3 linked regions of the Coturnix japonica genome follow. Each later gene encodes a partner of the first gene's protein in a complex. Links are inferred from orthologs where the notes say so. Each region holds a gene or a part of one and is shown in the gene's direction. Other genes may lie near its edges.

Region 1 (3,626 bases):
GGCTATTTTTATGATTCCTACTAATCCCCCTCCAACCTTTCGGAAGCCGGAGCTCTGGTCTGATGAATTCACAGATTTCGTGAAGAAGTGCTTAGTGAAGAATCCTGAACAAAGAGCTACAGCAACACAGCTGCTACAGGTCAGTCTTCAAGTTTCAAAGGAAATGCAAGTTTTATGGCTTTATCTCCCAGTCTCAAACCAGAATGGCTGTGAAAATGTAAGAGCATGTCTCTTGCCTTATTTCTTCTCCATTTTGTGATCTTTTCTGTATCACCTTTTATATCTCTAGCACTGTTTTATTCCTCCTTTGTTACTTCTAAACAGTAATTTCCTCCTGAAGTTTAGAGCTGGTTCTTTGTATTAAAAAATGGGTTCTTGTTCGGTGATTAGAGACCTTAGCAGATCATAGGGTTTAGGCCAGTGTTATGTTAAGGAACCCTTCAGTAGGGACCACCCATGGAGTGTACTCAGTCTGCCCTTTTGGTCATGCCAAATTAAACAAGACAGGTTATTCTGTATCCTAGAAGGATCTGATATGGATGGACAGGATAAAGAGGCTATTCTTGGGCTGTTACCCCAACTGAGCACTTTTCAATTCCAACCACAGTTGGCAGCGTGAACCAACAGGCTTTAGGTCTCTCACTGAACTAACCTGTGTGTTGCTTGGAAATTTAACAGTTGGTACTAAGTACCATTTAGCATTTTGGTACTGAGATGCAAATAAAGCAGAGAAATTTCAAAGAACTACAAAAATCAAACAGGAGGGACTGATCTGTCAAGAAAGGTGTAGTATTGTGAAACCAACAAAATTTTACAAGAACTACATGTTTTGGTGCACAGTAAAAGGGAAAACATGAAAAAAGTATGCTCTTCTAGTTTGGTTTACTTCTTTAGTTTTGTTGTCCACTTAACTAAAGTACTGTCATGGTCAACCTTTAAATAACCAAGGGAAATCATGTCTATCTTCATGTTGTAGATGGAAGGCAGCTGAAAGGAAAAAAAACCCTAGAATATCTGTAGTTGGTTCCTTGATGAATCTAAAATTTCCCATAAGTGAATCTAAATGATTTAGATTCATCTGAAATGAAATAAGCTTTCTTTTCTAACAAGAAGCAAAACATTAAGTAAGCTTTTGGATAATTTCGTCTATGCTTTTCAATGCTACTGGTAAAAATTGTTCTTAATTTTCATTTCATCAATCTACATAAGAACTTCTGAAATTTCTGTTGTAAGACAACTGTGATACCTGTATTCTGTCTTGAGGTAGGAGCATGCTCGTTTTAAATTTACATTAGAATTTAGCCCACTACAAGTACATCTTTGAAAGTAATTTTCAGTAATAAAACATAAAATTCATATTTATGGTATGAAGTATTTTATCTCTCATTGAAAGTAAAATGGATGGGAAGTAAAAGTTGGAATTCAAGATCAGAAATTTGTATGCTAACTATTGACTGGAACTGATTAAAAGAGACTTGTATTAATGCATACCAGTAACAAAAAGCCTTCAGAGTTACATGTCCCCTATACTTACTGGCCAGAAGACTGACTACTTGCATCCATTAGTTGTACATGTTGCCTTTTTCCCAGTTGGAGCATGCGCAGCGGAGCAGGAGGTGCCATGGGTATGTTGGAGGGGTACAGGTGGGAATGAAAATACCACTTGTGAAGAACAGTTATAGAGGGGAAAGAAGGGTAATTGAATTCATGTATCAAGGGAGGGGATGGGTAACAGGCAAAGGAGGACACTAGGATTTATCAAGTTTGTTCTTCATAGAACGATTTTTTAATCAGTAATAATACATGTCTGAAGTGCTGAGAGCTACATTTTTACTCAGTTGTACTTTCATATGATAATATGAGACAAGAATTTTTATAACAGTAGGGGGTTATTAGAGCATAACAGGAATGTAAATGGTATCATCCACGGGTTGTCTTCAAGGAGGAAATGATGCTGTAAATGGCTTTGAATTAAAATTCTCTTCCTCCTAAAAATAATGTTTTCTTTTCTTTTCTTTTCTTTTTTTTTACTTGTTCCACATTTCACCCTCCTAGATGAAGAAATGTTTTATGACATATTCAAGTACAGGTCTGTTGGAGTAAGCAACAGCCATACTTGCTCTGCTTACAGCCGCTAATTTATGCTGTCAGCTTGTTAAGATTAATTAAATACTGTAACTGAATATCTGAAAAAGTTTGTTTTTCTATGTCAGACAATCACCACTCTATTTATTTACTACTTAATGCACATTTCCTTGGGACAATTATGTCCCTAACTATAAAGCAGTTGTTTTGTAGTTGTATTTCTTAAGTCTTGCTGGTTTTTGTTTTGTTTTGCTTGTTTATTTTTTAATAAAAATCAAAGTCTTGTAGAATAAGCTGGAAAGGACCTCTGAAGAATCGTCAAGTCCAACTCCCGGCTCTACGCAGGACCACCCAAAATCCCAACTCCGTGTCCGAGGGCGCTGTCCAAACCATCTGTGAACTCTGGCACTCGGGGCCGTGCCCACTGCCCTGTGCAGCCCGTTCCATGCCCACCACCCTCTGGTGCAGACCCTGTCCCTCACCCCCAGCCGCCCTTCCCCTGACTTCACTCCATGCCGTTCCCTCGGGCCCTGTCGCTGTCACACAGAGCAGAGCTCAGCGCTGCCCCTCCGCTCCCTGTCACGAGCTGCAGCCGCCATCAGGCCTCCATCAGCTCCTCTGCTCTGGGCTGCACAAATAAGGCGACCTTAGCACTCCTCATACGTCTTGCCCTCTAAGCCCTTCCCCATTTTCATAGCCCTCGTTTGGATACTCTCTAATATTTTTATGTCCTTATACTGTATGGCCATACCAGTATGGAGTGGGTAAATAGAAGTGAAATCTTGGTTGTGAAGTAGTTGAAAATTGCCACGTTTTAGATTTAAATTACAGTGTGATGTGAAGTACCATTTATCGTTGAAGTCATTGGTGTTGAATAACACTTGCAATTATATCTGAGCTGTATCTATTGTAATGATGTCATTGAATTTCTTTTTTTCTGTTTTTCCCTAGCATACATTTATTAAGAATGCCAAGCCAGTTTCAATTCTAAGGGACCTTATCACTGAAGCTATGGAAATAAAGGCAAAACGACATGAGGAGCAGCAGAGGGAACTAGAAGAAGAAGAGGAAAATTCGGTCTGTATTTCTTTTTCCTTAGAACTTTTCATATTTTATAGATAAGTTACTATTGCTTTTTGGCAGCTTCCTGTCTTCACATCTTCAAGTACTTTTCTGTTTCTACCACTTCTGTAGCCTGTGAGGTCCAGGGTCTTTGTCCCTTATTCGTAATGAGTAATGGTTCTGTGAGTAATGCTGTATGAGCCAGCTTTCAGTACTGTTTCATGCATCGTCATAGTAAGTTTTAAGAGGTGGGTAGAGAAACCATGTCAAGTTCAGCTTTTCTGACTAGCATTAAAAAAAAAAAAATACTGTTGGGGTCCTATTTTTACTTCTAGAAATGTATTAAATTTTCATAAGTTCAGGTTACTTAGCTTTTTTTGTAGAGTCTATTACACAAAGTAGTTACTTGTGCAGCAAAATTACTAGTGTTTGCAGTATTATTTGAATGAAGTTGTGCATGTGATGTAGAAATGATGACA
Region 2 (3,626 bases), on another chromosome or scaffold:
GCCAGCAGGGACAGGAGGTGATTGTCCCTCTCTGTTCTGCCCTCTTGAGGCCCCATCTGCAGTGCTGTGTCCAGGTCTGGAGCCCCCGATACAGAAAAGGCAGGGAGCTGCTGGAGAGGGTCCAGAGGAGGCCACAAAGATGCTCAGAGGCTGCAGCACCTCCCTACAAAGACAGGCTGAGGGAGCTGGGCTTGTTCAGCATGGAGAAGAGAAGGCTGCGGGGTGACCTCAATGCAGCCTGCCAGGACCTAAAGGGAGCCTACAGACAGGAGGGGAGACAACTCTTTACAAGGGCAGATAACAGCAGGACAAGGGGAGATGGTTTGGAGTTGAAGGAGGGAAGATTGAGGTTGGATGTCAGGGGGAAGTTCTTCACTGTGAGAGTGGTGAGGTGCTGGAACAGCTGCCCAGAGAGGCTGTGAATGCCCCGTCCATCCCTGGAGGTGTTCAAGGCCAGGTTGGATGGGGCCCTGGGCAGCCTGGGCTGGTATCAATGTGGAGGTTGGAGCTTCGTGGTCCTTGAGGCCCCTTCCAACCTGGGCCATTCTGTGATTCTATGATGTGATTCTGTGAACTGCTTTTGCCTTGCATACCACATGCCAAAACCAACTTATTTTTTATAAGTAAGCTTTACTGCTTCTTGGCTGAGACTTGTAGAAGTTGTAATTGTTGGTTTCTGTCTCATCTGTTCGTTCAGTTTAGAAACAGGATATTATTCTCACTAAAATAAAGCAGCTGTTGTCTGTGACTGCTGGTGAAACAGTCGGGTTGCTGAGAGCAGAATTGGGTTTTAGCCTGAAGGTAAAAACTTGATTGATGTTCTGGGAAACCATCTCTGAAACCCAAACTAAGTCATCTCTGGAATAAAAACAGATATTTTAGCTGCTTAAAACACAGAGGTAAAATCAAGTTAGCATGCACCAAATCTACCGGTTAATTTCTATTCGATCCTTCTTGCTGTATTGCAGGAAGTTCATATCTTTATTAATGAGAGCAGGACATCCTGCTTGGTGCCTGCTGAATTTCTCTGCCTTCCTCCATACAGCGTTCCCCGCTACGACCAGCCTCCCCCAGTGACCTACCAGCCCCAGCAGGCAGAGAGAAGCCAGCCCCTCCTGGTCCCTGCGAACCCTTACCACACTGCGGAGATTCCAGACTGGCTGCAGGTCTACGCCAGGGCTCCTGTCAAGTAAGCTTGTTTTCTTTACTCTTATTTTGCACTAAATTACACGTGCATCGTTTAGACAGAAACCAAGTGGGTTCCGAGGACTGGAAGTAGAACTACAGCTGCTGGCTGTTCTGTAATTGTATGAGAGCTGCTGCTGACAGTGGGTGAGGGATCTGTACTGGGATTTTTCATATCAGAAATACAAGCCACCCTAAATTGAGTGGACCATCGCTGGCTGAGGATCCAGCCTAAGTGCTTTAGACCTGTAATTTTTGTTGCTCAATTGCCCGTTCAACAAACTGCTGTCAGAATATGCTTTTAAAACATCTATCTATGGTTTGTACACATAATATATTAAGATCACCGTGCATGTAATCTGTGCTGTACATTATGATTTAAACCATGTGTGCGACACTCACATCTCCCACAAACATAGCAAAAGTTGGCTCGATAAGGGGAATGGACTCTTGACTCTTCTGGGTGGAAATGGGCAAGTTGGAATGAAGTTGGGCTTCATTTGTGTCTTAGCAGGAGAATGGAGACCACTTCTCATAGGTTTGCTTTGCATTAGGCAATACTTAACATGGCACTGCAGAACTGGGAGTGCGTGCTGTACTCTCAGTGTGCTTGTGAGTATGGTGCCCCATGGCATATAAAATACATGGGGTATGTTTAGCAACAGGGGGTCTTTTCCAGGGGTAGATCTGAATCAATGCAATGAAACACGTTCTGATGGCTGCAGCTCTGCACAAGACTGACACGAAGTAGAAAATCAGTTTCTAAAAGCATCCATGTGGCACTTCAACAACTATAAAACCACGTTCTTCTTCATGAGGAGAACGTGGGGAGGCTGAGTCACAGCAAACAGCTCAGTGCACAGTTGGGAATTCTCAAACCATGTAGCGGTCAGTGGCTTTCAGCTGAAGTTTTTAGCTGCTTCTAATTAGTGTAATTGGAATGGGTTTAATTACTTCTCGTGTCTTCTGGCAAAACAATATGAATTTAAATGGACCTAAAATCCAGTGGTGTACTGGTGCTGCAGTTCCTGTAACCTGGGAGAGGGCTGAGTTCCTAGAAATACTTCTAGGCTTTGGCTGCAGCTGCATTTCTTTATTTAGGTCTTTGGCACATGTAGACAATGCAGTCTGAAGGATTTCAGCCTGTGTTGTGTAGGTTCTTGCTGGTTCTTCTCTTGAAACTTGAAGATAAGCACTGTAAGATTCTCAGAGACTTCCTGAAAGGCTGAGACACTGAAGTCAGTATTGAGAGGACCCCAAAGTCACACATTTTCCAGCCTCCTTTTACATTTCTTCAGCTGAAGCAGGGCAGGTACAGACATTGCTGTTTGTGGCATTCTCAAATGTGAAGAAGCAAATCCTGTTTCATGCTGATTTTGTACTGGGAAAGGGAAGAGGAGAGATAGCAGCTGACTTGCTGTCACCTCAGCTTGAGGGCTTCTCAAAGAACAACACACATTGGGCAGCCTGAGATTGCAGTTCAGATTCTTTTGAAGCACAGATCAGAACCTTTGTCTTTCTCCATGTAACCAGGATCTCATAGCTCTGCTCATTCCATCTGTTCTCCTGTTCTTTCAGTAGCTGCCCTGTCAGCTGCTGATAGCTAAGTTAAGAAAATCACAGTGCAGGTGAGTTACAAATGTTTAGAAGTGCTGGGAAGAAGATCACGAACCTGCAGTAAGGATGCAGCATCTAATACAGAGCAAGGCTGGGGCTACCTGCCTGCAGCAGCTGGGGGCTGCCCAGAGTAGCTCCCTATCAGCCAGAGGGGTGTTCTCCAAAGAGGGCTTTGGGCTGGCACCGAGGTGACATGGCCACTGATTAGGGCTGTTTCTTCTTACTGCTGCTACCCGGTTCTCCCCTCCCGTTGTTCCACGGGGCTCGTGCCCCACAGTTTGGGATGCAGTGACCTAAATCAGCACAGCCTGCGAACGCAGAGCAGCACGGCAGCCTCAGGTGTAACCCTCTGTGCCACTCCAGGTACGACCACATCCTGAAGTGGGAGCTGTTCCAGCTGGCTGACCTGGACACGTACCAGGGCATGCTGAAGCTGCTCTTCATGAAGGAGCTGGAGCGCATCGTGAAGCTGTACGAGGCCTACAGGCAGGCGCTGCTCACCGAGCTGGAGCACCGCAAGCAGCGGCAGCAGTGGTACGCCCAGCAGCACAGCAAGAACTTCTGAGCTGCCCCACGGACACAGGGGAGGCCAGGAGCTTTCAGAAGCCCCCACAGTTCATAAAGAAGTGCTTTGGTTGAAAAGGCAGCTTATTTTTGTTGACATTGCACCTTTTGTTATTATCCTCTTGAATATTTTTCTACATGTATTATGTATTGTTTATACAAATGAGAAACGTTTGTTAATCTTTTTCCATACAAAAACTAGTTTATTATGCTGAAAACCAGCGTGGAGTCGGAGCAGAGAGCTGATCCTGCTCTCCTTT
Region 3 (4,275 bases), on another chromosome or scaffold:
GGAACGTGGTTGGCTTCAAAAGGAAGGATTTATTTCTTGGCGTGCACCAAAAGGAAGAGCTGCTAATAGCCCTTCAGCTGCCATAATGCAGCAGCTGCAAAGAGGACTCCCAGAATCTAAATGAAATAGGGATTTTCTTGCCTGTGTTCATCAGGATTTAGTTTTTCCCCCCCCCGAATTCTCAACCCTGCTCCTGTTTTCCTGCATTAGCTGAAAACCTGCTGAGGAAGCAGAGAATGGCAGTGAATCTGCTCTATCTCCCAGTCTGGAAGGAGAACAGATAAAACATCCCTCTATGGGGAAAACCATTTACCCAAGGACAAATCTGCTGCTGGTCTCATGCAGAAGTAGAGGATGCATGAAAGTGAATCAGGATCCTGAATGGGGAAAAAAAAGACCTTCCAATATGAGTCATGTTACTTAACAAACAAAAATGGGATTTTTCAAGCTGTATTATTGCTCCTTTCATTTTAGGCTCTTATTAGGGGTTGCCTATTGCAATCGTCTTTTGTAACTCAGAGCCAGATCCATCCTTCAATTTAAATTATTTCAAAGGGATTTAAGCATCTTTGGCTCATCCCATCCTCAGAAACTCGCTTTGTCTCTTTGTCATCAGGCCTTCAGAGCAGCACCTGATCCAAACACCCTCATCTCTGCACCCCAAAAGCATTGCAAATGGGCGTCCTCAGAGCTGCAGTGCTGGAACCTGTACAGAAGAGAGAGACTCCAGAATCTGCCCATCATATTTTCCCTTTCACTTCTCCCACAACCACAAAAGCCTCATCTGGGAGAGTTTAATTGCTTGGGCTCTCAGCCCTCAGCATCACTCCGGTGCCCTGCTGTCATTTCAGAGGGGAAAAGGTAATTTGTTCCAGCTGTCTGTGCAGCCTGGTCCATGCTCTGTGCAGGAGGGTCTGTGTCTTCAGCTCAGTGTATAAAGCAGCACCTGAGAGGTGATCGCCCTGATTCTGTAGGGGCAAAACCTGGGATGGGGATGGGGATGGGATGGGATAGAAGGGGATGGGATGGGATGGGATGGGATAGAAGGGGATGGGATGGGGATGGGGATGGGATGGGGATGGGGATGGGATGGGATGGGGTGCTTCTGCGCTCCTGCAGTGTCCACTGGGAACAGCTTTATGCTGCACGCTGCTCACCCCATTTGCACAGCCGGGATTAGGGTGATGTATGCGTGCAACGTCCCCGGTCCCGAGAGGAGGAGCGTCCCGTGGGGAGCGGTTACACAACAGTGTGGGTTGGGATTCCATGGGGAAATCCTAAAGGGGGGTGGAGAAGGGGGGAAGAAAGAGAGGGGGGGGGGGGGGGGTTTACGACTGCGATGGATCCTATGGGAGGAACCGCTGCTCCGGGAGGGTCACCACGAGAAGATCCCACGCGGGGCCGCTCCCCGCACCACCCCCCCCTATATCAGTGTCTCCTCCCCGGGGCGGCCCAATGCACCCGCCCTGCCCCGCTCCTCCCGGCCACACCGCCAGCCCGGAGCCCGCAGAGCGGCGTGCCGTGCCGTGCGGTGCCGTGCCGTGCCCACCCGTGGGGCCGAGCCCCTCGCCTGGCTCCATGCGGCGGGGTCCACCCGGCCCCGCTCCCCCCTGCCCGGGGAGCCCCGGCGGTGTCAGGGCAGCTCGACGGCTGCGGAGGCGCGGAGGGTCCCCTCGGCTTTTGCCCGACGTGCGCAACATCTTCTCGGCTCCTCGAGAAGCGGCGGAACGAGCCCACGGTCACGGTCACGGTCACGGTCACGGTCACCGCTTCGTCCCCCGCGTCCCTCGCTGCGGTTGGTGCGATCTGTGCGGAGCTGCCGTGCGGGATCGTGCCCTGCGCTGCGAATGTGAGTGCTGCTGCCGTCCCGCAGTTCCATCCCGCACCGCATCCATCACCCTGCCCTACTCCCCACCAACTCCATGCCCCCCTCACCCCCAGCCCCGTGTCCCCCCGCAGAGCTGTCCCCCGTGGGGTGCGGATCCGTGCGGGGGATGCGGGACTTGGGGTTTTTTTTTCCTCCGGGGAAGATGGGATTATCGGCTCATCGGGGCGGAATGGCTCGTGGTTGTGCCGCCTTACGGTGGAGCTAAATCCTTCCAGGAATAGCACGTTGGGAATATCTCCTTTAGGTTCTTTGGGCAGTGAGCAGTGGGAGCTCTCTAGGAAGACTCGCTGTGCTCCCATCGGGTGCATTAAGATTTAGTTCTGCAGGAAGGGTTGGCGTTCCCATCGTGTTTAAGGGGTTGGGAAGAGGGGGTGGGAGTGAATGGGGTGTCCTGGGTCAGACGCAGCCCATGTGCATCACTGTGTGAGGGGTGGCATAAGGACCAAGCAGTGAGTTACAGGCAGCAGAAGTCGAACCTGTTGCCTTGTTATTCCATATCTTCTGAATGGGGAAAGGGCTTTACATCCTATAGACTATGAGCAGTGCCTGGGGGCGGCGCTCCTCCTGCCCCAGCCCTGTGCCCAGCTGATGTTTTCAGGTAACTGAGGGAGCATCCCGATCTGACACGTTAATTGGCAGCACTTTGTGATGCTGTGAGTGCTATAAAAGGGGTGTTTTGAGGGATTTCTTTCCCAGGGCTCTTTTACGAGTGATATTGAAAGAAGCCTGCAGTGCTTGCTTCCCTTTTCGTTTCTTCTGAGAGCTGTCAGGCTGTGGGAATAGATCAGCCTCTAAAATTCCCCAAACAACGACGTGTTATCGCTGGGGGGAGGGAGAGAAACTTCAGTGGGACTCTTAGAACATCAGCACCCATCGCCCTCCCCCTCCTCCTGCAGCACATCCGTTTCTGTTGGGGTTTTTTTCTTGCTGTTTGTTCAGGTGGGGCGGAACGTAGATGTTGGAATGTGAAGGTGACAACGCAGCTTCCAAGTCTGTGCTGAGATTTATTTGGGTTCTAAGCAGGGATATCCGGGGTCGGGGGTGGTTCTGGAAGCAGAAACTCCTGCTCCTTCCCCTTATCCCCTGCATTATGGGCTGGGCTTTTCCCTCAGGCATTTTCCAGCCTTAGGTCCTCTCTCATCCTGGCAGCTCAGGGCATGACTTACAGCCCTTGTATTTCCTGGGCTGTGCTTATCAAACTGCCCTATGGGGTGAGCTGGGTGTGCCCTGCATGGGTTTGTCCCATAGACCCGATCCCTCCCCAGGACATCATGTCACCCCACCAGCACTCAATGAGGTTTCCTTGCAGGACAATGGCACAGCTCAGTCTGTGTTCCAGCACTGTTGGATCAGGACCCATTTCATTGAGAAGAAAGCTGGCACAACACACAGCACTTTGCTTTCTAGCTTGTAAACTGCAGCTCTGCCATTACAGGTTCTGGAGTGGCTGTTTAATTATCAGTGCTCAGTAGCAGGTGTGGATGCTCCCAGCTGGGCTCTGGGATGGGGTCTCTGCCCACACCTGCAGCACTTTAAGTGTGAGGTTTTCCCATGTCTCCTCCCTGCGTGTCCCTCCCATTTCTGCTCTCATCACTGTAAACAATAATTGCCACCAGGAGCCACAGTTTTGGGGCTTCCTTAGTCTGGTTTGGGCAGATTCTTGTTCTCCCAGCAGCAGAGGATGAGGGTGGTGGGGAAGGTGCAGGGCAGGGCACAGGGATCAGGTCTATGGGGCAGGGCACAGCAGGTATTGCTCACTGGGGGACTCAGCATTGGCAGGCTGCTATTCTGGGGGGGGCTCAGGTCCTTGGGTCACCCTTTGCTGCTGCCTTCCCATCCTGTGCTTATGGAGGAAGACACCAATGGAGGCTTTGGTTCACCAGGTGAGGTTTGGGTTGTTTCTTCCTTTCCTGGTCCTGTAGCTGGGCTTGGTGGTCTGGGTTGGGAAGAAGGGATGTGTGTGAGCTGCAGGGTTGGGGGATGCTGAGGGGTGAGGAAGGAATTACTTTGTATTATCCTGTGCTGCTTGGTGTGATGTTTGGATTTAGTGAGCTTTTATCTCTGCAAATTAATGGATGAAATGGGTAGAGTGTGTTGTGTGGGATGCTGGAAACCTGCCCCATGGGTGAGGGGATGGCTGTGATACAGAATGGGGAGGTTTTAAAGCCCTTTGTTGGGTGATGGGATGGATACGAGCATCATCCAGCACCTCACGTGGCTAGAAAGGATGGATGCTACAGGAAAACTGCAGCACTGATCCAAAAACCTGGCAGGGCTCATGTCAGTATTGCTCACATTGCTGATCTCAGTGTATTTCTTTAATGTTTCATTCAATATTGGAGGCTTTAGACAACCACAAGGGAACAGCAGTGAAGTGGGGATGTTAG

The links.
Region 2: the proteins of STK3 (region 1) and SAV1 are in contact, whole or in part, in a crystal structure (PDB 6AO5), measured with the Homo sapiens proteins. The link is inferred for Coturnix japonica from reciprocal best matches to the Homo sapiens genes STK3 and SAV1. Residues at the interface, in NP_006272.2 of Homo sapiens: Trp429, Lys430, Val431, Pro432, Gln433, Gly435, Phe437, Phe439, Leu440, Lys441, Asn442, Leu443, Ser444, Leu445, Leu448, Gln449, Arg451, Leu452, Leu455, Asp456, Met458, Met459, Glu462, Ile463, Leu466, Arg467, Arg469, Tyr470, Ala472, Lys473; in NP_068590.1 of Homo sapiens: Tyr311, Ala312, Arg313, Ala314, Pro315, Asp319, Trp324, Glu325, Phe327, Gln328, Leu329, Leu332, Asp333, Gln336, Leu339, Lys340, Leu342, Phe343, Glu346, Leu347, Ile350, Val351, Met353, Tyr354, Ala356, Tyr357, Arg358, Ala360, Leu361, Leu362.
Region 3: the proteins of STK3 (region 1) and RASSF5 are in contact, whole or in part, in a crystal structure (PDB 4LGD), measured with the Homo sapiens proteins. The link is inferred for Coturnix japonica from reciprocal best matches to the Homo sapiens genes STK3 and RASSF5. Residues at the interface, in NP_006272.2 of Homo sapiens: Phe437, Phe439, Leu440, Leu445, Leu448, Gln449, Arg451, Leu452, Leu455, Asp456, Met458, Met459, Glu462, Ile463, Leu466, Arg467, Tyr470, Lys473, Arg474, Pro476, Ile477, Leu478, Ala480, Met481, Lys484, Gln488; in NP_872604.1 of Homo sapiens: Trp369, Asp370, Ala371, Phe372, Ile374, Leu377, Gln378, Phe380, Leu381, Leu384, Glu385, Glu387, Glu388, Lys391, Ile392, Val395, Gln396, Lys398, Tyr399, Phe402, Arg403, Lys405, Leu406, Ala409, Leu410, Ser413.

Annotation. Positions count from the first base shown.
Region 1 is NC_029517.1:115,664,426-115,668,051, reverse strand, and holds part of STK3 (serine/threonine-protein kinase 3), read left to right. Parts: intron 1-1; coding exon 2-139; intron 140-3,036; coding exon 3,037-3,162; intron 3,163-3,626. UniProt on the Homo sapiens protein: Stress-activated, pro-apoptotic kinase which, following caspase-cleavage, enters the nucleus and induces chromatin condensation followed by internucleosomal DNA fragmentation.
Region 2 is NC_029520.1:52,517,701-52,521,326, reverse strand, and holds part of SAV1 (protein salvador homolog 1), read left to right. Parts: intron 1-1,045; coding exon 1,046-1,189; intron 1,190-3,165; coding exon of another isoform or gene 3,166-3,367; exon of another isoform or gene 3,368-3,626. UniProt on the Homo sapiens protein: Regulator of STK3/MST2 and STK4/MST1 in the Hippo signaling pathway which plays a pivotal role in organ size control and tumor suppression by restricting proliferation and promoting apoptosis.
Region 3 is NC_029541.1:2,734,302-2,738,576, forward strand, and holds the start of RASSF5 (ras association domain-containing protein 5), read left to right. Parts: upstream 1-1,420; 5' UTR 1,421-1,455; coding exon 1,456-1,849; intron 1,850-4,275. UniProt on the Homo sapiens protein: Potential tumor suppressor. Seems to be involved in lymphocyte adhesion by linking RAP1A activation upon T-cell receptor or chemokine stimulation to integrin activation.